Linked DNA regions of Nothobranchius furzeri. The protein of the gene in region 1 purifies or fractionates together with the protein of each later gene. This does not show direct contact. Links are inferred from orthologs where the notes say so. Each region holds a gene or a part of one and is shown in the gene's direction. Other genes may lie near its edges.

Region 1 (3,632 bases):
ACAGTGTGTGTCTCCCCCCCCCCCCTCCCCCATTTTTGTAGTTGGCATAAGAGCAGCAAATATACTTGATTCTTCAGATCTGACTTGAGATCTGTTTTATTTAAGTCTATCTTTTGCGGTTATTTTATTTTTATACAACCTCAGTAACTTCACTGACAGATGAGATCGCATGAAATAAGATGGTTGTTTTAATTTTAGCGCAAGCTGTTTCTATGACGACTGTTACTTGCTGTTTGCCAAGTTTCTTGCCAGAGCTGGTTGTTTATATTGAGGTTGTAGTCGTATAAGGGAGGATGGAACTGGCCTTGAAATTAGAATAAGATGTATCAATCTGTTATGTGTTTGCTTAATATCGTATTAGGATGATCGTTGAGGCTTTTTAGGAGGAAGTGACATCAGTGTGGTTGCTAAGCAGCAGCTTGTTGATGACCTGGACCCTGTTAGACCAGAATAAATCATCTAATTGTATAGAAACCCTGATTGTTTAGAGTTTCCTCTTTTCCTGATTCCAGAAGCGAGAGATTCCAGATTATCTTTGTGGGAAAATCAGTTTTGAGTTGATGAGGGAGCCCTGCATCACACCCAGCGGGATCACTTATGACCGCAAGGACATAGAAGAGCATCTACAGGTAAACAGTTTCAGGTCTGCTGGTAGTTGGTGACTTGTTTTATTTGATTGTTTTTTTTTTTATCTATGTGTATGTTGTTGACTGTTTTATTTGTTTTAGCAACATCAACCTGCCAGAGGACTGCAAGTGGAAATTAGTCTTAAAATCTGGCATATTTACTGTTCATAAGTATGCATTGTCCTCCTTTAAATAAATAATGAATGAATGAATGAATAGAACAGCTTGTTAAAATGTGTGGACTGAACTGCGAGCAGGTTTACAGCATTGGTCACCATGGTGACAGACTCAGGTGACAGGTTAATTGTAATTTCCAACAGCATCTGAAGTTTTCTTCCTCAAGCCGCTAAAGCCAGGGTCACACTGGGCCGCCACCGCGACGTGAAGTGCTGATCCTGTGGTAGGACAGGCTTCTGTCCACAAGTCTAGACATGATCAGATCAGTAGCGGTGGGTTATGTATCACAGTACAGCAGCGACCATATGATATGTTATGATACAAAACAGCCTGAAGACCAGAGGCTTCCAGTGTTATCACGAGATCTCGTGAAGTCAGACTGAAGGCGGTAAAATCTGCTGCCACCTAGCAGTTGGAGGTAGAATTGCACCACACAAAGGGAAGCACAGTGGAAGATTATGTTAAAATGCTCTATAAAAATTTGATACACCTTCTTTTAAATATCAGCAATATTTCAGTGTATAGAAATTTTCTTGCATCTCTACAAATCAGTACTGGTTGTAACAGGGAGCCTATAGCCCCATTCCCACCTGTACCGGGTCGGCCCGGGCCGGGTAGCGTAGGTTGTTTACATATCTGGGTGGCCTGGAATTTTCCCGGGCCAACCAAGGCTCATTCTCGGCCCTCTTCCCGAGGAGGTCTGCTTCAGGCCGACCAGGGCCAACACACCCACTGCTGACAGCAAATTCACACCTTCCATTAGAGCAAGCCTCTGATTGGTGGGTAGAATCAGCCCATTCACACCTTCCATTAGAGCAAGCCTCTGATTGGTGGGTAGAATCAGCCCATTCACACCTTCCATTAGAGCAAGCCTCTGATTGGTGGGTAGAATCAGCCCACATGGGCTTAAGACAAGGATGTGTGGAATCAACCGGGCCAGGCTGGGGCCGACTGGGGCTACCCGGCCCGTGCCGACCGGGTACAGATGGGAATGGCCCATATGTCTCCTCCCCGTCAACGGCGCTGCAAAAGCTATTTTCTAATCTACTTTGCCTTTAACCCCGAGTCTCACATATGTTGTACTTTAGCTTAAATTCTAAATAGTAACGAGTTTAGATTATGTCTGTCACGTATTTTGAGATTTATTACCTTGTAAAAATTGATAATTAAAGTGGCCACAAATCAGACGTCGCATATACGACATCACCACAGTATCTCCTCTCCCCCAGCGTAGCGGCTACTTACCACATGGCCAGATTTATGGTGCTTTTCTACACGTTTAATGCTTTTTTTTGTCCTGGAAGAAAGATCCAAAGCTCGCTAAACTCAGTCGTTTTCTTCATCATGTCTGGTTTGACGACATCAATTTTGTGAGACAAACATTTGTAGTCTTATACATTTTTTCGCACAAAATCTAAAATAACTTTAGCCATTTTTTAAAAATAAGCACTTTCTTGCCATCAGAATGTGTCTTTAAAATTCACAGACAGCATTTGTTAAAGCCATAGCACATATTAAACGGGATCAGAAAACAGCTTTTATTGGCTCATCATGCTTTTGACAGTAGTGGACCCAGTAGATGAGCGTGGCTTAGGCTCCCTGTAGTTATCATTGGTTTACGTGGGTTAACGGTATTACAAGTGTTGGTTATTGGCACAGTTAGAAGAAAAGCTGTTCAGTTACTTTCTCTAAAGCATCAATAATGTAGTTGTGCACAAATACATTAAATCCTTCTTGTTTGCATTTTTGCAGCGAGTTGGTCACTTTGACCCAGTCACCCGAAGTCCCCTGACCCAGGATCAGCTGATCCCCAACCTGGCCATGAAGGAAGTGATTGATGCCTTTATCCAGGAGAACGGCTGGGTGGAGGACTACTGAGGAGGCTCGCTCCTTTTCTCTTCCAGGAGCCAACACCAGACCTGGATAAGAATATAGAGAACAGATCACCCTTTGCCTGGATATGAACTTTACTCAAGCCACACAGGAAACTACCAAACGGGGAGTATAAAGCATCCCAGTTTGCATCCTCCCAACGGTTTTGTTCTTGGCTGTAAAACCTTTTGTTGCAGCTCTCGGAGGCTTGGTGTTCATGGCCTGTTGCTCCCTTTAAGACCTGATCACTCTTTCTCTCGTTCAGCTTCTCTATCGTGTTTTTTTTTTAAATTTAATTTAATTTTTTTAAGTCGTCCAGCCTGACTCCTCCTGTCTTCATAATGGGGCTTGTACTCAGGTCTCTGCCGCACTCTGCCTGCTTTATCTCTGAGTGCCACAGTTACTGGGAAACATTAGCATCACACTCTAGTGTTTCACATATACCTACAGTAGGTCTCTAAATACACACATATATACTTAAATATAAAATAAACCAACAAATTTTGCTGACAGACATTTTATTTGATATCTAATCCAGTATTTTTGTCATATTTCATAAGAAAAAGAGCATCTGCCCATCTATTCTAGTATATTTGTTGAAGTGGTCAGAAATGCCAATAGACGTTTTTAGTTTTACTTGATGCATCGAGATGCTGGTGGCGCTCAGACCCAACCGTCTTTGTCACTTTAAGGATTTGAGTAGAATAAAAAGGTTTTCCTCTCCTTTGCATATCAATCACACCTTCAAACAGACAATTCCAATAAGTCGAATGAATGAGTTCTGTATTTTTTTTAGTTTTAGAGTCAGTCCTCAGCGATTTGCCATGTTTTTCTGAAACGCCTTGAACTGGAAACAGAAAATAAATGGCTGCATATATATATAAACAACGTTCCCACATTGCTGGATATGAGTTCAGAATGTTCAGCTGTTGCTAAAACCCGCGTTGACAAATGGTT
Region 2 (3,500 bases), on another chromosome or scaffold:
TCAGGTAGAACACTTGAAATGGACAGAGTCGTGGCTGCTGCTTGCTGCAGACGAGTTTCACGCATAGCCTCACGACTGTGAAACACTAAACCAGTTGTCAGTATAAAGGCCAAAGCAGGTTTATTTCAGATTAAGGTCTGAGAAGTCTTTAACAGTGGATTTTCTAATGTAAAAATGATACAAAACAGCAGAAAATTTTGTTTTTGAACAGATTTACGAATTACGAGCCATCTAACTAAATGTCCATAGGTGTCCTTAAGACTTTTGCATATAATAAAAGAACGCACTAAACCAAACCGCCGACTATTTATCTCAGCATTCCAGTGGAGAACTTTGAGGATCACAGCGCTCCTCCGTCTCCCGACGAGAAAGACACAGGCTTCTTTATGCTCCGCAAGGACAGCGAGAGGCGAGCCACGCTGCACCAAATCCTGACCGAGGACCAAGACAAGGTTGTGGCCAACCTGATGGAGGCCCTCACACAGGTTGGGAATGGAAGAAACTAACAGGAGGGCCAGGGAGACGCAGTGTTAAAATCTTCTGTGGTTCTCTGACCTTCAGGGCTCTGAGGAAATTAAAGTAAAACCGCAGCACATCTCCATCCTCGTAGTGAGTCTGGCTGACTTCATCCGCATGGCCGACAGGAAGATCATTGCCAACACCTTGTCTCAACTCAAACTGGACCTGGACTTTGACAGCACCGCCATCAGCCAGCTGCAGGTCATACTGTTCAGCTTCCAGGATGCTGTAAGTTCATCACTACAACAGGGAGGTTCGATAAATCCTCCTCTAATTTTCCCTTCTGGGAATAATCAGTCCATTGAAATCCTTGAAATGACTTTAAATAGCACCAGATTAAAACCCAAACATCACTCCTCCTCCATGCCTGAGTCATGTGACTTCCTGTCTGTTACATCCCTGTAGAGCTCTGGGTGTTTTGTTGTAAATGTTTTACGTCAGGCAGCAGAAGCCTGTCTGTTTCCTTTTCCTCCTGCGCCGAGATAATAAAGTAAAAATGATTCATAAGCTTTAAGAAAAGAGGTCTTCAGACAGGAGGAACTGCACATTCTGCAAACAGGCTCATCAGAAATGCTAAACGAATAACATAAGAGAAAATGGTTGTTAGTGTATTGCATAATCTGAGGTGGGAAAATGGAGTTCTGACGCCCCCTGCTGGTCATCGATGCACCCAGAGGATTTTTTATGTGTAGTGCACGACTACTTAGACTTGTAAATATGAAAAGTTTGTTTTCCTTTATGTTTATAGGTGAATAAAGTGCTACGAAACCACAACATCAAGCCTCATTGGATGTTTGCTCTGGACAACATCATCCGTAAAGCAGTGCAGACCGCCATCACCATCCTGGTGCCAGGTAGTATCATCCATGTTTAGAGCAGAGCACCTCTAAATGAATTATCCCTCCCTCCAGCCCTGGGCCAAACTGGCAGGATAAATCCAGGGATATGAAGAGGGAAGAATATAGAGCTAAAATGCATTATAGATGCATACTTTTTGCATGCTGGCTGTGGTTTTTAGAAGTATTCCTTGGCCGACGCCACGACTCTCACCTGAGTGTTAAATTGTTCATTAAAGTGTTTCTCTTGGTCACGTTATCTTTGATTTAAAAAGTTGTATTTTGCACATTTGGAAGTATTTGCAAGTTTTTATCCTTGCTTTGAGTAAAGTTATAATTAATTACAGATTAGCCGTGGTAGATGGCTTCCTGAATTGCCTCTGTTTGGAGAAACAGATTAGCATCCGTTAGTAGAGATAGTCTTCTTAGTGTAATTATTTATCATCCTAAAGTAAGAAAATCTCTATATTTTTTAAAATAGTGATATAATTTCTAACAAAAACAAGATGACCAAGTAACATTTATAACAATATACAACCGATGAAATGCTAGAGTTAGCAGGCATCGCTACCACTAGCTTGCATGGTCATCCATTGTTGCCCATCCAGTTGATGTTTGCAGACAAAACTTAGAGAAAGTTGTTGTCAACATTAAATGTGTGGTTTACTCGTTTATTCAATACATTTGCAGTTTTCTCTAATGTAAATCAATGCCTTATGAGTCATGAGATGCAGATGTTTGCTGGTGAGGAGGTGGACTGAAAACAGCAGAATTGCTCATTATTATTAATGATATGCACACACCTTGCTTTTAATTGGCTAACAGAACGTGTTCAGCCATGTTGCACAGGCACTATCACCAACACACTCTGCTCTCTCTCTTTGCTGCAAAAAAAATTTTTTAAGCCTTCCAGTGGGCAGACGTGAGTCAAGATGGGAGAGGCCATGAATGCAAATTCACAGTGTGACATCACAGTGTGAGGATTTTCAAATCCTAGCATTTCACCATCTATTTTCTATCAGAAGCTAACAGAGGAGATTAGTGTGGGAGATTGTTTTCATGTTCAGCCTGCATGAAAAACTCAGTGACCGATTATAATTAGAAATAGTTTAAAAAAAAATTCAGTCAACCACACCTTTAATCAAAACCTTTGGGTTAATATTATGTCCTAACCTTTACACTCGGCCTCACAGTTATTGATTTTCTGGGGACATCCGTTCATGTTTCTGCAAGGTTTTCCACCGTGATTGTCCATGTTGTCGTTCCTGAGTATGGTGTCGAGTCGGGCCAAATCCCCACTCTTAATCAGCAAATGGGTACAGCAGCTAAAATACCTAAGAAACGTACCTTTCCCTGCTCGCTGTCATGAGTGAATATTGTGAGATTCGTGCCTTGTTTGCCTTTCCAACTTTAATAAAGCCACGCTGTATGGCCCACATGAACAGAATCCACTGCATAGTGGATACATTTACATCATGGTATCATCATGATAGGTTTTTTCTAAGCAAGACATAATTACTAGTGGTATTGTGAATGACCTGATACACCCATCCCTAGGTTGAATTTAAATTGTTGTACATGAATTATAAATATATATTAAAAATAGTGCCTTTGTTACCTTTTTGCCAGCTTTTGATACAGCTCTAACAACTTGATAGATAGATAGATGGATAGATGGATAGATAGACTCCATGTCCAGATTAAATTACAAAAACCATAAACAAGCTACATAAAAACACACTTTAAAAAAATGTCGTTTCTTATGGTTCCAACAAAGATGATAAAAAGCTACTTGTGCCTTAGACAGCTTGCCAGTGTTTCCAAAGCTCAGACTGATGGTGAGCGGCACTAAGGTTAACGTTTAACAACTGAATCAATATATGTTTGATGCATTTAATCTGCTGATGAAATTCTGTAGACAATGAATCACATCTTGAAGGGGTTTAACTTGTAAACAATTTACAGGAAGAAAAATATTGAGACAAATATCATAAATCAGAATTTTGCTCAAAGATACTGGATTGTAAGTTCTGGTCCATATGGCTCAGCACTACTTTTAAGTAAAACTTTAGTTTCTCACACTTCCTACTGGTTGGAAACAGTATTGCAATTGTTGCAACCAGCAGCCTGCTATAGCTAGCGCTA
Region 3 (3,500 bases), on another chromosome or scaffold:
ATAACTTTGTAGCTTCCCAATTGTAAATGGAACTTAATAGCAGCAACACTGAGTGTTTTTCTGTTTGTGTGTTCATGTCACCGAATAGAAATTTTGACCCACATGCTTTTCGCTAGATTAAATCAGCACCTAGCCTATTTCCCGAGGGACGGTGATTCGGCTCAGCATTGAAAATCTTCCAGCCGCAGAGGACCAATTAGCTTTATCGTGGATCGGTTTGTGCATCACGTGTGTGTAATGGAAAGCTTTCGTGTGAAACACAGCCTGCCTGTTAACTAAAATTAGCCTCCTGCAAATTACATTATCTGGTCTATTTTCTGGCAAAAACAAAAGGGCCTTATTCAGTGCTGTAAGTGCGTGCCAGATCAATTTCAATCAGGTGTGCATTTCATAGCTGTGGGTTTTTAAGCTGTTCATTTGGTCGTCTGGCTGCTCACATGTCATCTAAATGTATTTCAACTTACTGAGGTGCAGTTTGCAACAAAGATTGGTGATATAAATTTATGGCATATGAATGGGAGATGAAATCTGTTTTTTGAGGCATCGCGGTTTTTCTAAATCGATTTTGTTTATGTTTATTTACCGCAATGTTGAGCAACATAAGGTGGAACAGGAAGTACAGCACAGACTTTAAAAAAATTTTTTTATAAGCACATAATGGAGGCACAATTTGCAGTGGCGTGTCCAGGCCTTTTAAAATGGGTGGCTCCAGTGGGGCACTAATTTATGCATGGGTGGCACCTATAGTTATACTTTTTGTTTTGATCTGCGGGGTTGTCACCCCTCACAAAATAATACATTTTTGCATTATTCTTCAACTTCTTGTTTTGAGGTGGTTAGCAAGCCACTTCTTGGTGCATTACCGCCATCTACTGGAGTGAGTTTGGACCAGGACTATGAATACTATTTTTGTCAATATGAAAACAATAATTAATAATACACAAATGTTCTGTAGGCCTGTGACTAGAAACTAATGTTAAAAGTCCATACTGTCGACTACTGTTTTAGGGGTTAACCCTTATTTTTTTGTGGACAACTTAATGTCAATTTAAGTGGAACTCATTGGGGTGGCCAGTCAGATTCCAAGAGTGGCAAATGCTGCTCCAGACCACTCACTGGACACGCCATTGACAATGAGCAATAAAAAGAGTGAACAAGTGAACATTTTAAACATGGCCGCCGAGCGAGACCAGTGTTGTGTCAAAAGGCCTTCCTTCTCCAAATATCGTCTGTTTTTCTTTTGTTTTTGATTCTGAATCAAGACAACAGCAAACATCATTCAAAATAATATTAAACCCACAACCATTTTTTGAATGAAAGCGGCCATTTGATGCACCCCTTCTTGTTCTTACCTTGAATCTAACAATTTTGTCTCATTAAGTTTTTATAGTGTAGTGATTTCAGTCACTTGAAGAATCAATAGCCCTGCTTTGATTCAGCGGTGGTCACATTAGCCGAAATGGCACTGTAAAATGTCTGAATCAGTGTGTGGGATGGGGGTGGGGGGATGGCTGAGCTCTGACTCTTTCCTGTGTAGTCATTTGAGTGGGCGAGTCCTATTTCGTTTGTTCAGCAGCCAATAGGACGCTTGCATTGCACTGGCTGGGCTGAGACAGCCTGTTGAATGCTCCAGCTGCGCTGGCCTCTGCAGACATGTTTCAGTTTTGGGAAAAGGGATTTTTACGTTTAACAAACCCAGCATGAGGCTGATCCACCTCCTGTCTCCTGCAGGGTGAGCTCGGAGCGCAGGAAGGAGAAATCAAGGGATGCAGCAAGATGCCGCCGTGGGAAGGAGTCGGAGGTGTTCTATGAGCTGGCCAAGCAGCTGCCTCTCCCCCACAGCACCAGCTCAAGCCTGGACAAGGCCTCCATCATGAGGCTGACCATCAGCTACCTGCGCATGAGGAACCTTCTCTGCAGTGGTCAGCATCTGTAGCGACAGATGATTATAAACCATTCCACTGCTCTGTTAACCATGTACCTGCAGTATGCTTGTCATATTTGTTATCTTGTTGACTTCAGAGTAATTCACTTCATTTACATGTAGCCTATAGTGGAAAACACAAAGGAGGTACTGCGTATTCTGCCATAATCTCTCTGCAGAAACACCTGGGGCTAGAGGAGTGGTTTTTCTGTGTCTGCAGCTGTTTGAACCGGTTATTTGTCCTTTAGCTTATCACCCACCTTGCTCCCTCTCTCAATGCTCCAGATAAGCCAATGGAAGAGGGGGAAACTGAGCTTGATGTTCAGCTGAACGGGTCCTACCTGAAGGCGTTGGAGGGCTTCCTCATGGTGCTGTCTGAAGACGGCGATATGATTTATCTCTCGGAGAATGTCAGCAAGTGTCTTGGGCTGGCGCAGGTGGGTCTGAAGCAGGGAATTAAAAAATAAGTGCACATTTTTAAGCTTTAAATGAATACTTCTTGGTAGCTCTATTTATATATTTGTGTTTTAAAAGTATATTTCTGTTTGTTTGCCTTTGCAGTTTGACCTGACTGGCCACAGTGTGTTTGACTTCACACATCCCTGCGACCAGGAGGAGCTGAGAGAGATGCTCCTCTGTAGAACAGGTGAGCAGTGTTGCACTGAAGAGTACAAATGTGTAGAGAAACCGAGACGCGCACACACAGAGCTCTCTGTCGGGTGTGTTGGTGCTCCAGATGGTAGAAAGTCCAACTCACTCTGTGGTCAGCTCTGCTTAGTAACGACACAAAAATCCACTCCGGTTTTGAGCAGTGGCTGAGTAATCTTCCGACCTTTTAATCATCAATAACAGATCTTTGCTTTGCTTCTCGTTAGTGAGATAAGTTTTGCTGAATCTTCTCTCTGCTTCGGTTCACTCTTACATTTAGGACCTGTGTTTTTTGTTATTTCTTTGCTCACTGATACCGCCTCGGCTCTAACTGCTGGTAGCTATTTCCATTTTATCCTCTAGCTCACCACAAGGCCACAGCATCAGAGCAAATGTCTCCTTTTGATGCAAATTTTATCAGTTGGCAGTTTGTAGATTGTTGAGTTGGGACCAATAAAAAAGAGCAATCTACTGCTGGCTTACTCTGCCTCACTCTGGATTCATATCTGTTTAATTTTGTGATTCCAGGCTCCAAAAAAAGCAAGGAACCAAATAATGAACGGAATTTCTTTCTGAGGATGAAATGCACCCTCACAAGCAGAGGTCGCACGGTTAATGTCAAGTCGGCTACATGGAAGGTAAAGAAGTGTTGAAGCTGTGGAGCATCTCGGGCTCCTAAATTAAAAAAGTTACTTAAAGTAAAAAATAATAATTACAGAAAGATTAAAGTTTCCCTCTTGGTTTGAAAACGTGTTTCTGTAGGTCCTTCACTGCTCGGGTCACATGTGTGTTCATGACCATCGAGCAGAGCAGATGGAGCCACTGCTCCCCTACCTGGTTCTGATCTGTGACCCCATCCCCCACCCTTCCAACATCGAGGTCCCTCTGGACACCAAGACGTTCCTCAGCCGCCACACCATGGACATGA
Region 4 (2,569 bases), on another chromosome or scaffold:
CACCGTCCACCTTTGATTAATCAAAATGCAATACATACAGTTATAATTATTGGGTATATAAATCAGATTTTATATATATTTTGTGGAGGTTCGCCATTTTCAAAAAAGTCCAAATCTCAATAGTTTCAGGTTTGTGGTTTTCAACGAATTTCTTTAATGGCAACATTTTTGCAAGTTTAGAGGAGACGCAAGCTGGTAACTATGCCTGACAGTTTAAAGGATTTTTTTGTCAGACAATATTAGATCATGTCAGTTATGTGCAACTAACGTGTTTTCGCACTGACGTCCTGAGTGTGGTGCAAAAAAAAACCAGATGGTGACACCTGTTAATCATACAATTTGAATTCCAACAGTGAAAGAAAAATTTAACTCGTTTATTTTTATTCATGTGATGTAGCAAGTAGCAATGCAATTTTGTAAATCTTCTGTAGGACTACTTATACAATATTTCTGCTATACACAAAAATATCTTTGATGTTTTGATACATTTTAATAACAATTTAATGTAAAAGTTTTTGTTACTGTACCCTTTTAGCCACCACTAGAGGGAGTGGCCTCATTCTTCCTTTGCTAATACACAGCCATAGACACATACACTTTTTGACTGCAGAGAAATTGTTAGAATTGTCACCTGCCAAAAATAATAAGACATATTTTCTGAAGCAATGAGACTATTTGGATCGGGAAGTTAGATGTTGAGCTGCAGTCTGTAGCACTTGTTGGGTTGTAGTGAGACGGTTGCAAGTTTGATTTCCACAGCAGCCTTTCTGCATGGAGTTAGCGTTCTTATCATGCATGCGTGTGTTTTATCCACTTTCTGCCCACAGACCAATAACATGCATGTTAGCTTGATTGGAGATTCTAAATTGTCCTCAGGGTGAGTGTAATGGGATGGACTAAGCTAGCTTTCCAACTGTTGGAGACACATTTTAAGACCAAGTTCAATGAGAAACCATTTTTTACCTGTCATTTTTTAAATATGATCAGCTCTGAATTTCACATGCAGGCTGAACGTGAAAATAGTCTTGTATACCTGTTCCCTGCATCAACCGTCAATAGAAAATAAATGGGGAAGTGCCCAGGTTAAAAAAAAGCCACATGGATCTGCATCTCGCTGTAAATTAGCATTCATGGACTCATCCACCTTGGCTCGTGTCGGGGAAGGTGGTTAATTTTTGCAGCCAGGAGAGAGCAGAGTGTGTCTCAGCTAGTAGATGCTAACCGTTAGCATCAGTCACTCCTTCAGACTTGTGTTATTTGTGGAGATAAAACATAAACGTTGCAGAGCAAACAGAGTCAGTGGTAGAGTTGCATTGCTGTTAGCCAATCAGAGGCAAGGTGTCAGAATATCAGGAAATAATAATGAGTAAGACTCACAAGGTGTCTTTTTACACCAGAGACTGCTGCAAATGTGTTGAAAAAACAAGTGAACTTGGTCTTTAAGGTAGTGACCAAAACACACCCTTATTTTACTGTGGTGAAAACGCCTCAAAGATGCGTTCTCTGTTTAAAACTGGACTATCTTAAACCTTAGAGGGGTGCAGATCCTCCTAAACTAGACCGGTTTCAGCAGGACGAGCATCTGGCCTCCTTCACGTCTCCTCTCCGCTGCCTTAATTACACAACACAATGACGATGAGATCTGCCTGTAATCTCCCAGCATAATAACCCCCACCCATCCACCCCGTTCCCTGCCTGCCACTAATTCAATATAAATGTAAATTACCTCGAGAAAAGAATAAGCAAATCTCATTTTATTTACATGACTAATCACAATAAAGTCAGGCAGATGAAATATGAATGGAATATACAGCTGGGGTGTGCGTTTCCATAGAGACTTGTTTTAGATGTTATTTCTTTTGGGGTACATCAATATACCTTTTGGACTCTTGCTCAACTTGTAATAGATGTGTGTATCTATTTTCTCCTGTCTGCTCGTACGCACACTGCCAAGGGCATCACAAAGCAATATGTTTTCCCTTTTTTTCTATAATACACATATCTGAGGAGAAAATGTAAAAAAAAAAACGACTTCATGTTGAGCACCTCGGGCATTCCATCCAAACAGGATGAGTTTAAGTGTGATTTATTCCTTCTCCGCTCACGCCCACAGACCTCGCACCTCAGGATCCCTTTGAGGAGGAGTTTCGTCGCCTCAGACAGAACGCGCTTCCTGGCTTCGGCCTGCACCAGCGCTACCTGAGGAACTCTGCCCAGAACCCCTCAGAGGAAGAGGAGGAGCACGGCCCACAGAGCCAGGGACTGACGAGAGGTCCGCCAATCTGCCAGTGCAGGCCTGATTAATTACCAACACACTGAGCTCTCCTTTAAAGAGTCTTAATGAGCGCAGCTAATTGTCGGCTTTTGTGTCTGATGGCCCCACAAAGCACAAACGACGAAGAGTTGCGTGTTTGATTGGCAGATGTAAACACAGAGGACAGACATGTTCATTAGGCAGCTCTGTTCTACGTCGCCGTAACGACCGAGAGGTCAGAGTCCGCCCCCTGTTTTCCTCTACGGGGTCAGGAAGTCAGGCACAAAAGCTGAGCAATTATCTGCAACACAGTCG
Region 5 (4,185 bases), on another chromosome or scaffold:
ATGAGCTAAAACGCAAGAAGCGTGGGTGCAGAGCGGGAGCAAAACGGAGACAGAGAAAGAGGAAATTCAAACCATCTCTTCCATCGATCATAACGGGCAATGTGAGATCACTGGCCAACAAGATGGAGGAACTCCAAGCCCTTTCAAGGACTCAGCCAGAGTTTCGGCAGTTTCGGAACCACTGGAGGAGATAATGCAAAGAAGGATTTTCCAGAGAATCAAGAAAATTATGGACAACCCTGAGCATTCTCTTCACAAGACTGTCCGACAACGGAAGAGTGTCTTCAGTCAGAGGCTTCTTCAGTTTGGCTGCAACACTGACCGCTACTGGAGATCCTTCCTGCCAACAGCCATTGTAATGTACAATAACTCTTTGATGACTTGATTATTATTATTATTCTGAGCTACTACAACAATCAATTTCCCTCTGGGATTAATAAAGTATTTTTGAATTGAATTTGAATTGAATTAATGATGCTCTGTTGTGTAAAGTACTTTGGAGTCCTCTGACTCACAAATGCTCTATAACAGTGTAGGTCATTTATCATTTATATTATGCAAACTTCTGCTTTTGCATTCTTTGTGCTGCCATGTGGGTCTCTACATCCTCTATAAACACTTCAAAACATGAAAATAATCTGTTTTCTGTTAGTGTTTGGTTTAAGGAAAAAGGAGCCTGAAACAAATCATTTTAAAAAGTCCCCATTTGTGACTTAACAAACTGGGACAGTAGACTAGAACTACCTCTTATGCAAGAGGGAGCTGCTGCTGAAGAAGCAGCGGCTCTACTCCAAGCCCATCCCAGATATAGGAGCTTCTCAGCTTATAACATCCTGAGTAGGGATTTGAGTGGGCGTGGCCAGCTTTATCTGGTTTTCTGAAAGTGACAGAGAAATTTTGGAAGGTACTGGAACTGTCAAAAATAAAACTACTGAAATGACTTTATGTTAGAGGGATTTTGTGCAAAGAACCAAATTAACATATTTTGGATCGTAAGTTAGGATAAAAGGTCCCACCCAATGCGGTCTCTTTCAGTCATTTTTAAACAATATAAGCCTCATAAATATGGGTTTATTTACAAATATTAACTAAATATTAGTGCTTGAAACTTAAGAGCAGAAAGGGTTAAAGAGCTGAGGCCAAAAGAACCGTCTTTTATCTGAACTGAGCCAAATGAACCAGGTCCCAAAGATAAGACGTAAATCCCCAACATTACGACTGAGCTGTTCTTGGATCAGATTTGACAGTAACCGCCCATTCAAACACAGGAAGTAACAAAACGAATACTGATCTCGGGTCAGCTCTCAGGGTAATCCCACCTCCATACAAACCAATCAGCTGACAGCCGCATGACAGGCAGGCCTTGCGGTTGCTCAGTTGAGCGCTTTTGGTATCGGGAATATGGCAGCGTCCTGAGTCCCGTAGAGGGGGGGAGACGGAGGAACCGAAGCGCTGGCCGAGCCTAGAGCACGGTGGGGGGGCTGAGGGTCGACCAGGATTACCACCCATTAGCGATTTCACAGGTAAATAGCACGTGCCACTTTTTGTCTTCTTCGTGTTTGCTTGATTGAACTCTTATGCTAATACCTAATTGATGTGCTAGTTAGCCGCTAATTTGTGGCTAACCCAGTATTGGCCTGCCACAGCCTCTTAAAATAGCATTTAGCAAACAAACGCTGATAACAAAGGCGTTTGGAGTGTCACTGTAGTTGTAGTGAGGTCGCGCTTAAGTGTCGACATCACAAGAGAGCGCTTGTGTTGGTTTTTAGCTAGCCTGTTCACCGTTAAGGCCTGCTGCAATGAAACAGAATTGGGCTAGCCTCCTGTTTGCCAGGTAACGTTCATGCTGGATTTACTTGACAGCGCGCGTCCACACATGGGTTACGTTTTTATTCTCACCACGATTTGAATTTGTAGCTTGTTGTGTGAACTGCTTGTTGTCGGCTGTAGTGTTCACGAAATCTAGACTGATGAAAGTAGGGTTCCTGTGTGGGTGAATGGTTGCTGCATGTAATCGACAATGAGTAAAATAACTTAGTGGCTGCTTTTCCACATATAGGAATTAATGTTATGTTTTGTCATTTTAATTTTGTACGATTCCGGCAGCTTTAATTCACTCCCACAGGTGCTTGTTTTGTGTGTTTGTTGTACCTTTACACCAGCCCAGGTATCATGAGTGTAAATGTGTTCACTGGACATATAAATACATTTTAGGGCCTTATACTGATGCAAAAGCACATGATAGTCTGATCCTTGCCCCCACACTAAAGCTGAAGGAGTTTCCAGTTATCTTTAATTGTTTTTTAACAATGTTTAGATGCTTTCTCATTAGTTTACATTTGTATGATTATACAATTTTAGTAACTAGTCTGGGATTCTAATCACATTTATCCACATTTAATACTTTAAAATGTTCTCTCTTCTGTAGCATGGTTTGTCAATTTTTTATGATTTTGCAAGAATACTTTGAATTCAGGGGGAAATATATAGAAAGGGTAGTCACGTGGTAATCCTGGTATCTAACTTGGATTTTTTTTTCAAAGTCATCAAGGCTATTTGGTTGCAGTAATAACACTTTTTCAGCTGTTGCTTCAAAAGCATTGAGTCACAGTCCCTACCTTACTGAATTGCATTGCATGTTGTTGTTGAAAGCTTTATTTTTAATAAAGACTCCCTTTTTTTTAAACATTTTAAAACATGTATAATTTTTAAAGGCTCTGTTGCAAATGTGTTTTTTTAAGTACCCAATACACCTTGGTATGTTTAAAAAGGTGAGTAAAAGACGATTGTCATGCTGCAATTTATTGCTTCGTTTGCACACTGGTATGGAGAGGAAGGAAAACCGCTGTTGGATTTTTCCAGGATCCTGGCTCTAAATGCTGACACACAGGTTCCCCATGTCACTATGCAGCTGCCAGCAAAATACTAGATGTCAAATAGAAGTGACAGTTATTTCCCACCATTCCTTCAATTTAAGCGTATTACATTAAAGAAATGGTTCAGAATGTTTATACTGGGTTTCTGTTCAAAGGTTATGAATAAGTAATGTTACATCTTGTCAACAGCTCTTTGAAGAGCCTCAGTTTGGAGGAACAAAGAGTAAAGAGCAGTCACTTTGGACCTGGAAATTAATTAAAATATATTGTGTATTAAAACATTTTAACCTCAGTGCTATATTGCTGTCTTTTTTTCTACAATCATTCCAGCATAAAAATTATTTTCTAACCAGAATTGAAAATGATAACTAGCTTGATACTGTATAAATAAGAAAGTAGAGTAAAGTTTTATAAACTAGTACAAATCGTGCAAGATCAAACAGGACTTCACAGTAAACAAACATGGCAGAGAAGGAGCGTGCTGCATGCTTCCGTCACCTTGCTTTCTGATTGGCTACACGTCACATTCAACAGGCAGCACGTTTGATTGTCCCCCGTAGGGCTGGATAATATAGAAAAATAGTATATCGACAAATTTATTTGAAATTTTGATCAATTTCGACAATTATTAAAAAATATTGTAAAAATTATATAAAATATATTTTACGTGCAGCCCTTGCCATTTTTTATTTTTGGTATTTTCATTTTTTTCTCCACCTCTTCTCGCTGCAACATCTTGCTGCCTCATGCTCTGTTTTGGTTTGAGAGGGGAGGGCCTGGTGACATAGCGTGCCCAAGTCTGTGGTTTTGATTGGCTAGGAGTGAGTCTAGTATGCTGCTACCTGATAGGTTATTTTGAAAAAAGGAAACTTTTTTTATTGAAGCTTTATCTACCCTTTTTTTTCTATCGCACCACATGTCTATCGATAAATATATTGAACTATTGAATTATCGTCCTGAGCTAGTCCCCCAAAATCTGACCAAGACAATCCAACACTTTTGATAGCCCGAATCATCTTTAGTCATTATGGCAGTTGTAGGGATGTCCCGTTTCGATATCGATATTGGAAGTAATTTGATATTGGCCCAAAAACACTGCATTGGATTATATTGGACTGCATCAAAAATCTCCGATACAAGCATTTTTTTAAGGTTCACAATTTTGCAACCAAAGATTTTTTTTTCATGCTTACTGTTGCTGGCACTTGTTCTCCTATTGAGTAATATCACTTGATGAAGCCTTTCATAAATTCCACACTACGAAATTTGTGCTGATACTGTATCGGATTGATATTGGGATCGGTCAGTA
Region 6 (3,500 bases), on another chromosome or scaffold:
CATAACGCACAGACTTTTGATTATCGTTGCCTCTGTTTTGAACTTTGGGTTTGTTTATCTTTTTTTGACGAATTGGACAACACAAAGTTGGCGTCTAAACAACAGCATTTGGTAGAACGTGATGTTCTACTTTTTCTTTTTTTTTCCATCACTGTTGATTCCTGTTTGGTGTCCTGTATTGTGCTGGCCCTTTATTTTGAAGGTACCCTCTGATTTTCCACCCCCCCCCCCCCCCCCCAAATAACGCAAAAAGATCCCTTCTATCTCTAATAATTGTCAGGTCTTACAGAGGAATGAGGGGCAGAGGGTGACTGTAGCAGGGCCACAGAAACTCTTGTAGCTTGTGCAAATCTATAGAACTGGTTTTCCTTTTCTGTAGTCGTTCATTCTGCTCCACGTGACCTCGCTTTCTTGAAAGGCCACCTTCAGTTGGAGCCGATCCAGCCTTTTTTTTTTCTTGCGTGGTTTGTGGTGTTTTTGTGTGTGTGAGAGAGGGAGAGGGAGGAGTTGGTGGTTCTGGGGGAGGGTTTGGTAAGGGATTTGGCAGCTCCTTTGATCAATAAAGCATAAACAAGCGGGGGGCTTCAGAATGGGTTTCATTGTGTCAGGGGGAGGAGTGCTGAGTCAGGCCCACTCGCTCTCTGGCCTGGGATCGAGAGCAGACAGGCGGGCTGGGATTACCGAACGGGCCAAGGGAAACTTACTGAATCTCTCGCTTCATCCAGCTGTTCCAAAATCTGCTCTAATGGCATTTTGGGATCAAATTAACACCAAGCTGTTAAAAGAAACACAGTGAGTTTTTGTTGATCACTAAAGGGAATATTTCATGGCATAATAAATAAACTCTTTTGTCTCTTAAGTCTCTTTACTACAATTAAAAAGTGGCTTTGCGCAGACGAGCTGCTGGAGTTTGGTGCCTTTTAGGGAGAGATGGTGTGTGTGTGTGCGTGTGTGTGTGTTCTAAATAGGATGGTTAAAAAAAAGGGAATAGCTAGGTTTTAGGTCGTAGCTCAGTCTGCGCCTTTGTCAAGCAGGTGAAAGCTTTGTAAATGTGGCGCCAGATTGTTAAAGCCCCTGACACTCCGCAGTGTCCGAGCCGCTTCCAGGAAAAGGGACCCCCTGCGTTGAGCCCTGGGACTGACCCTCCCTCAATAGAGGGGGACCTGCCTGGGAGAGGAGGGCTTCCTGTATTAGCTTTCCATCTTAATCAAGAAACAAGTGCCAACAAAGCAGTAATTATCAATGCCTTGGGAGTGCACACAATGCCCCTACCCCACCCCTGCCCTGTCCCCTCTATGCGGAGATGGTCAGAAAAAAGATGAAGTAACATTGTTGGATGTGACCATAGATTAAGGTGTTTTAAAGTATATTTTGCCATCTGCTCTTGTTGCAGCCACATTGATAAAACGACCACTTGGCAGGATCCCCGCAAGCCCTTGCTCCAGATGAACCAGACTTCTCCTCCAAGTTCTGTTCCAGTCCCGCAGCAGACTCTCATGAACCCAACCAGTGGTATGTGCAAAAATCAGCTAGCTAGAATCGTGAAGTTTTTACTTAAATTTTGCTTTAATGGAGGAAAAACTCAGTCTAGTTCTTACTTGTCACTAATGTGCACAACTTGGAATTTGGAATTTGCCCCAGGTGAGGTAAGACCGAGGCAGGACGCGTCCTTCTGTTAGTTTGGAAGCTCTGTGACTCAGATCAGTTTAACAGATGACGTCATTCTCTTTGTCTCTAGTTGATACCGCTCAACCTGTTAGCTTGTTGGTAAATAATAAAAAAAAAAATCTCAGATGCTGACGAGCTTGTTTGTCAGGGACAGATAACGGTGATTCACTCAAAGACGATTAAATAAACCTGATTTAATCTCTGTTTGTGCACACATTTGATAACGCTGCTTCGTATTCTTCTCAATGTTCGTTGGTGTACTTTGTGAAACAATATCAGTAAAGAGAAATTCCTGCATTCAGCCAACTTCCAGTACTTGTTCAATGTTATTTTTCCCTGTTATCCCTCAGGACCCCTCCCTGAAGGCTGGGAACAAGCCATAACACCAGAGGGAGAAATTTACTACATCAACCACAAGAACAAAACCACATCCTGGCTTGACCCACGACTCGAGCCACGCTATGGTAAGCTGGCTGCAGACGGGAATCTTTTGGTTTCATCTCTTTTTATTTTTTATTTCTCAACTAAAGTAAAATACATCTGCTCCGTCTTCAGAAGAGGAACTTCTTACACAAAATCTGATGATTCTGAAGCTTTTATTAGACTCTTGCATACTACACCATCTGGTCCATTACCTTTTTTTATTAAGACAAGTGCAAATTTTCAATTGCTTAACCATGTAACCGTTACGTCTGTGACAGTGACTGAATGGCGAATTTTCCGTCATCTTTTGAGGAGAGCATCGGTGTGTTTTTCAGGACAAAAGATTAGACTTTTTTTTTCTTGGCAGCAAAGAATCACAACATTATAAATGACGCCGCACCTCCTTTTTACCATAATACCAGTTGGTAACTGTCAGTGTCTCCATCTATTGTTGTTATAGAGATGGATGGATGTCTAATGTGATCTTGCAATGCAGCTGCCACTGCCGCGGCATGCTGTTCATGCACCCGGTGGAACTCAGTCGCCTGTTCTTTATAGTCGTTCCCAGTGGTGATGCTAGGGGGCGCTATAGCTACCCCTGGATTAGTCATTGCACCCCCAAGTAAATATTAGATTATTTTTTTTACAATTTAATTTTAATTTAACGTGTGGATGTGATCATATTTAACATACAAAACAAAAATAATCAGTAAATTATCATATAGATAGTAAAAACTTCAACCAAAACAGGAAATTGATGTTAACCTTTGACCTCATTTTCCACCTGCGAACGAGTGAAAGGTAGAGCTAGTGGTAAAATGGATCGGTTTTTGTTGCCCACATTTCCACGGGTTCAGTCAGAAACGAATGAATGTTTGGAAGTGATCTCAGACCCACAAAAACCTACGGATCTGGATGGAGTCAACCCTCAACCGCCGCAGCAGTCGAGGGTTTTGCCGCTGGAAATGCTAACACTAACGTTAGCTAACCTTGCAACACTATAGATGGTTTTCTGTGTGGCTGTTTGTGTTTATGATTTCATGGAAAAGTCAGCGATTGTTCATATGTTTATGATGTTTATTAATGATTGTTTCAGGTGTTGTTGAGGTTTTGTGCACGCATGTGTATCTGCTAGTGTTGAAGGTGTTTTAGAGAACAATAGGTACGCACGACCACTTCCTTCATAGCACCCTCAATAAAAAGACTAGCTCCTTCATAGCATCTGCAGAAAAAAATTTCTGGAGGCACCACTGGTCGTTCCCCCTAACCTAGGCTTTCCACCGGTTGCGTAATGAAATGGCTGCATTGTCCACATGACCCCAGCCGTCCAATCATATCCCACTGGGAGCGTTTCAGATTCAAATCTGCAATGAAAGTGTTCCAACTGGACGAGGCCAGCCTGGTGAGCC
Region 7 (3,500 bases), on another chromosome or scaffold:
CTGTTAAACCATCTAAATGATCTGTATCTGTACTCTGGGTGGGCGTGGCCTAAGCCAGAAGTGGGTGTGGTTTACATCAATACATTATTTTACGTCTGATCAGAAGTTGCTATGTGTATTGTTTATTTGAAAACTATTTACAGAGCAGCCTCAGAGTTGAGATTAAATGTTTTTAATCACAATAGTAAAGGAACTATTACAGAACAAGTTTTTCAATAAAATCAGAACATTAATATTTAAGTGCATGAATTAAGAGCGAGAGAGAAGAAAAGATCTTTTCTAAAGCGCCTCTCAAGATAAAAATCACGGGGCGCTTCACAAAACAAAACATGTAAAATAGAAAAAAGAATTTAGAAAATGATTAAAATATATTTAAAATGAGCAAAAAATAGACAATTGTGATTTAAAAATGTAGAGAGAGAGAAAGAATAGGAAAGAGGGAGTGGATCCTGAGGAAGAGGAGAGAGAGAGGAAAAAAAAACCCGACTGGAGCGCAGGCAGTGACTGACGCAGCACGAGCCGTTTTCAGCTCTGTCTTGTCAAATGCACCACGTACGTTACGAAAAAAGTAACTTTAAATAACTTTAACTTTAAAAAGAAGCAAACCGAAGAAAACATAGGGAGCACTGAAGAAACGTGAACAGTGAAGCAAGCACAGAGAGATCCGCAGTGTTGGGCAAGTTACTTCAAAACTGTAATGCATTATTTATTACTTGTTACCCTCATTTTAAAGTAATTCATTACATTACAAGATTACTGATTTTAAAATGTAAGGCATTACACTACTTTTGCATTACTTTGTTACTTTCACCAAAACAACTTCAATATGAATCTGGTAACCTGACACTCAGTGAGCTCATGACATATATGTGGAAGGTGATGTGGTGTCTGAGCTAGGATTGCTGTTAAAAACAGTCAGATATAATAACAGTGCTTTAAAATGATTGTTTATTAAATAAAAGCAACAACAATCTGTACTCTCAGCACGCTGCCATCTTAGATTAACTGAGCAGGGAGTGAGGTGGTGGGGGCTCCAAGCCTATGTTTGCCTTGGTCCCCAAATGCCTTGATACGGCCCTGGATGTGGGACTGACTTCTGGGGTGATCTGATTCTGTCACATGTATAAATATTAAATGCTTATATATTATTGCTTTTCACTGGTAAAAATGTGTATTGGGGATAAATCTACCTACTTTTTTCTTTTTTTCTTGATTTTATTTGAATAATTTCCTGCCCTTTCTCTCCTGCATGCTGCATGTTTTCTCCGTCTTCCAGAAAAAACAGTTTCCTAGACTTCCTACTTTGTAACGGTCAGCCAGAGGGATCTTCACATGCGCGGTGCTCCAGCAGTAATGAGTTGAAATCACCGGGGAACAGATTATGAACTCAGCTGAGGCAAAGCACGTCAGAAAAGCACAAAATACCAGAGAATATGCGCTGATATGAACGATCGCAAGTGAATTATTTTGTTTTAGTGGAGAGATTTTGTGAATGTTACAGCGGCCGCGTGCAGGACGCAGCTGAGCCGTTACCGCGGCGTCCTCTCTGCCCGCAAAGCTGAGTCCATAAATGACGTAACATATGCAGATACTGGATCTTTCTTCGGGTTTCCCGCAATTTGAATTTTTAAGGAACACATCTTGATTCTGGGTTTAAAAATACATTGTAATTACCGCGTTACTGACAATTGTACCGAGTAAATATTACCATTCTCTTTCCCTGTAATGCCTTACATTACTACATTACAGCAAAAAGCAATGCATTACAGTAATTAATTACTTTTGTACCGCATTACTCCCAACACTGGAGATCTGTGTGTGTGTGTGTGTGTGTGTGTGTGTGTGTGTGTGTGTGTGTGTGTGTGTGTGTGTGTGTGTGTGTGTGTGTGTGTGTGTGTGTGTGTGTGTGTGTGTGTGTGTGTGTGTGTGTGTGTGTGTGTGTGTGTGTGTGTGTGTGTGTGTGTGTGTGTGTGTGTGTGTGTGTGTGTGTGTGTGTGTGTGTGTCTGCTGCTGAGTTTTGTGTGTAGGGAGGGGCGGGCGCACTATGTGACTGGCCAATCACAGAGCGTGAAGACGGTCAGTTACCCAATGAGGACTTTCCTTCAGCACAATTACAGATATTTACGAGTTTTACTCGTTTCATGCTCGTACTCGTCAAAAATGCTTTTTCCGTACCGGATACTCGTCTGAAACGAGTATCCGGCTCATCCCTAGTTCCGTCGCTTTAAGAAACACAGATTCCACAAGCAGACGTGTTTCTTTCTGCTGATGCAGAGCAAGCATTTGTACTGCTTCGTTACCTTCCTTTTCCCATCCAATATCACTTTTTCTTTCTGTTTCTGCGTTCCAGATGATGGAGTCAGTATCCCTTGCTCCTACACGTCTTTCCTAGCTCCGATATCCTCATCCAAGCTCTACAATGAAGTGCGGGGGTGCAGGGAGCGCGACAAGGACCCTGAGTGCCATTTTGAGACGCCTTACGTGGTGCGTCTCCACAACTTCCACCAGCTGGCTGAGCCTAAGGCGTGCTTCACCTTCACACACCCATCTAAAGGTAGAAACCATCAGATTCACACGAGGGAACGTGTGTGTTTGTTCGGGGGTATTTATGAGGTGTGTGTGTCCTTTCAGACATGAACAATAACCGCTACCAGTGCCTCAAGTTCTCTGTGGACTGTAACTCTGTGCTCCATGGCTTTGCTGGTTATTTTGAAACGACTCTGTACAAAGATGTCACACTCAGTAAGTCGTGTGAGGGGAGGGGAAATGATCGTGTGTGTGTGTGTTTAGATAGAAATGTTGCTTTAATTCCATGTGTGTGTGTGTTTTTATTGCAGGTATAAAACCAGACACTCATTCGCCTGGGATGTTCTCCTGGTTTCCCATCCTCTTCCCCCTCAAGGTAAATCAATCACTAGAAAAGTGGAAAAATCCAAATCCTGTTCAGAGACTCCATGTTCTGGGTATTCCGTGTCTCCCTAACAGCAGCCCATTTCCATATCGCGAGATGATGATGTCACGGTGCGGTTCTGGCGCTGCAACAATGGGAAGAAGGTTTGGTACGAGTGGGCCGTGACCGAGCCGTGCTGCTCTGCCATCCACAACCCGGCAGGTCGCTCCTACACCATCGGCCTTTGAAACGCAGCGTCCGTGCTCTCGACTCGTGTTGTTTAGTTAGACTCGGTGGCGACTGGATAAATTCTGTTAGAGCAGATGTGAACTTTCACCTGTGCACGCATTCTGTCTCTGTGTGGTCATTGTGAAGCTCTCTGATCAAGTCCAAACCAAACCCACTGGTTTCACCTGCTGGTTTTGTGTTTTTTTGTAATGTTTTGAGTTTAAATGTGGACATAAACATCCAACTGGTCTTTTGCCTTATCACACACACATTCCACATGAGCCATAACACAGCTGTATCCTGTTAGCACTGCTCTCAACACACGGTCACCCTGTTCATGTTACATGTTTAACCGTTTGTATTTTGTCTTCTGTTTCTTAGA

Evidence for each region.
Region 2: the proteins of stub1 (region 1) and map3k5 purify together in Homo sapiens (affinity purification with western blotting; 3 studies listed by BioGRID). This does not show direct contact. The link is inferred for Nothobranchius furzeri from reciprocal best matches to the Homo sapiens genes STUB1 and MAP3K5.
Region 3: the proteins of stub1 (region 1) and hif1aa purify together in Homo sapiens (affinity purification with western blotting; 3 studies listed by BioGRID, with this or other methods). This does not show direct contact. The link is inferred for Nothobranchius furzeri from reciprocal best matches to the Homo sapiens genes STUB1 and HIF1A.
Region 4: the proteins of stub1 (region 1) and dnajb6b purify together in Homo sapiens (affinity purification with mass spectrometry; 4 studies listed by BioGRID and IntAct, with this or other methods). This does not show direct contact. The link is inferred for Nothobranchius furzeri from reciprocal best matches to the Homo sapiens genes STUB1 and DNAJB6.
Region 5: the proteins of stub1 (region 1) and dnaJ homolog subfamily C member 13 purify together in Homo sapiens (affinity purification with mass spectrometry; 3 studies listed by BioGRID and IntAct, with this or other methods). This does not show direct contact. The link is inferred for Nothobranchius furzeri from reciprocal best matches to the Homo sapiens genes STUB1 and DNAJC13.
Region 6: the proteins of stub1 (region 1) and yap1 purify together in Homo sapiens (affinity purification with mass spectrometry; 3 studies listed by BioGRID and IntAct, with this or other methods). This does not show direct contact. The link is inferred for Nothobranchius furzeri from reciprocal best matches to the Homo sapiens genes STUB1 and YAP1.
Region 7: the proteins of stub1 (region 1) and prmt5 purify together in Homo sapiens (affinity purification with western blotting; 3 studies listed by BioGRID and IntAct, with this or other methods). This does not show direct contact. The link is inferred for Nothobranchius furzeri from reciprocal best matches to the Homo sapiens genes STUB1 and PRMT5.

The regions. Positions count from the first base shown.
Region 1 is NC_091756.1:32,255,875-32,259,506, reverse strand, and holds the end of stub1 (E3 ubiquitin-protein ligase CHIP), read left to right. Parts: intron 1-512; coding exon 513-629; intron 630-2,555; coding exon 2,556-2,681; 3' UTR 2,682-3,132; downstream 3,133-3,632. UniProt on the Homo sapiens protein: E3 ubiquitin-protein ligase which targets misfolded chaperone substrates towards proteasomal degradation.
Region 2 is NC_091742.1:11,443,707-11,447,206, reverse strand, and holds part of map3k5 (mitogen-activated protein kinase kinase kinase 5), read left to right. Parts: coding exon 1-4; intron 5-316; coding exon 317-485; intron 486-561; coding exon 562-747; intron 748-1,267; coding exon 1,268-1,373; intron 1,374-3,500. UniProt on the Homo sapiens protein: Serine/threonine kinase which acts as an essential component of the MAP kinase signal transduction pathway. Plays an important role in the cascades of cellular responses evoked by changes in the environment.
Region 3 is NC_091758.1:31,049,934-31,053,433, reverse strand, and holds part of hif1aa (hypoxia inducible factor 1 subunit alpha a), read left to right. Parts: intron 1-1,731; coding exon 1,732-1,922; intron 1,923-2,209; coding exon 2,210-2,361; intron 2,362-2,485; coding exon 2,486-2,570; intron 2,571-3,100; coding exon 3,101-3,210; intron 3,211-3,334; coding exon 3,335-3,500.
Region 4 is NC_091747.1:47,489,064-47,491,632, reverse strand, and holds part of dnajb6b (dnaJ homolog subfamily B member 6b), read left to right. Parts: intron 1-2,113; coding exon 2,114-2,272; intron 2,273-2,569. UniProt on the Homo sapiens protein: Has a stimulatory effect on the ATPase activity of HSP70 in a dose-dependent and time-dependent manner and hence acts as a co-chaperone of HSP70. Plays an indispensable role in the organization of KRT8/KRT18 filaments.
Region 5 is NC_091747.1:45,032,711-45,036,895, forward strand, and holds the start of dnaJ homolog subfamily C member 13, read left to right. Parts: upstream 1-1,385; 5' UTR 1,386-1,523; intron 1,524-4,185.
Region 6 is NC_091753.1:45,044,991-45,048,490, reverse strand, and holds part of yap1 (transcriptional coactivator YAP1), read left to right. Parts: intron 1-438; exon of another isoform or gene 439-589; coding exon of another isoform or gene 590-792; intron 793-1,393; coding exon 1,394-1,512; intron 1,513-2,018; coding exon 2,019-2,132; intron 2,133-3,500. UniProt on the Homo sapiens protein: Transcriptional regulator with dual roles as a coactivator and corepressor. Critical downstream regulatory target in the Hippo signaling pathway, crucial for organ size control and tumor suppression by restricting proliferation and promoting apoptosis.
Region 7 is NC_091751.1:63,263,707-63,267,206, forward strand, and holds part of prmt5 (protein arginine N-methyltransferase 5), read left to right. Parts: intron 1-2,350; coding exon 2,351-2,554; intron 2,555-2,631; coding exon 2,632-2,742; intron 2,743-2,837; coding exon 2,838-2,902; intron 2,903-2,985; coding exon 2,986-3,138; 3' UTR 3,139-3,500. UniProt on the Homo sapiens protein: Arginine methyltransferase that can both catalyze the formation of omega-N monomethylarginine (MMA) and symmetrical dimethylarginine (sDMA), with a preference for the formation of MMA.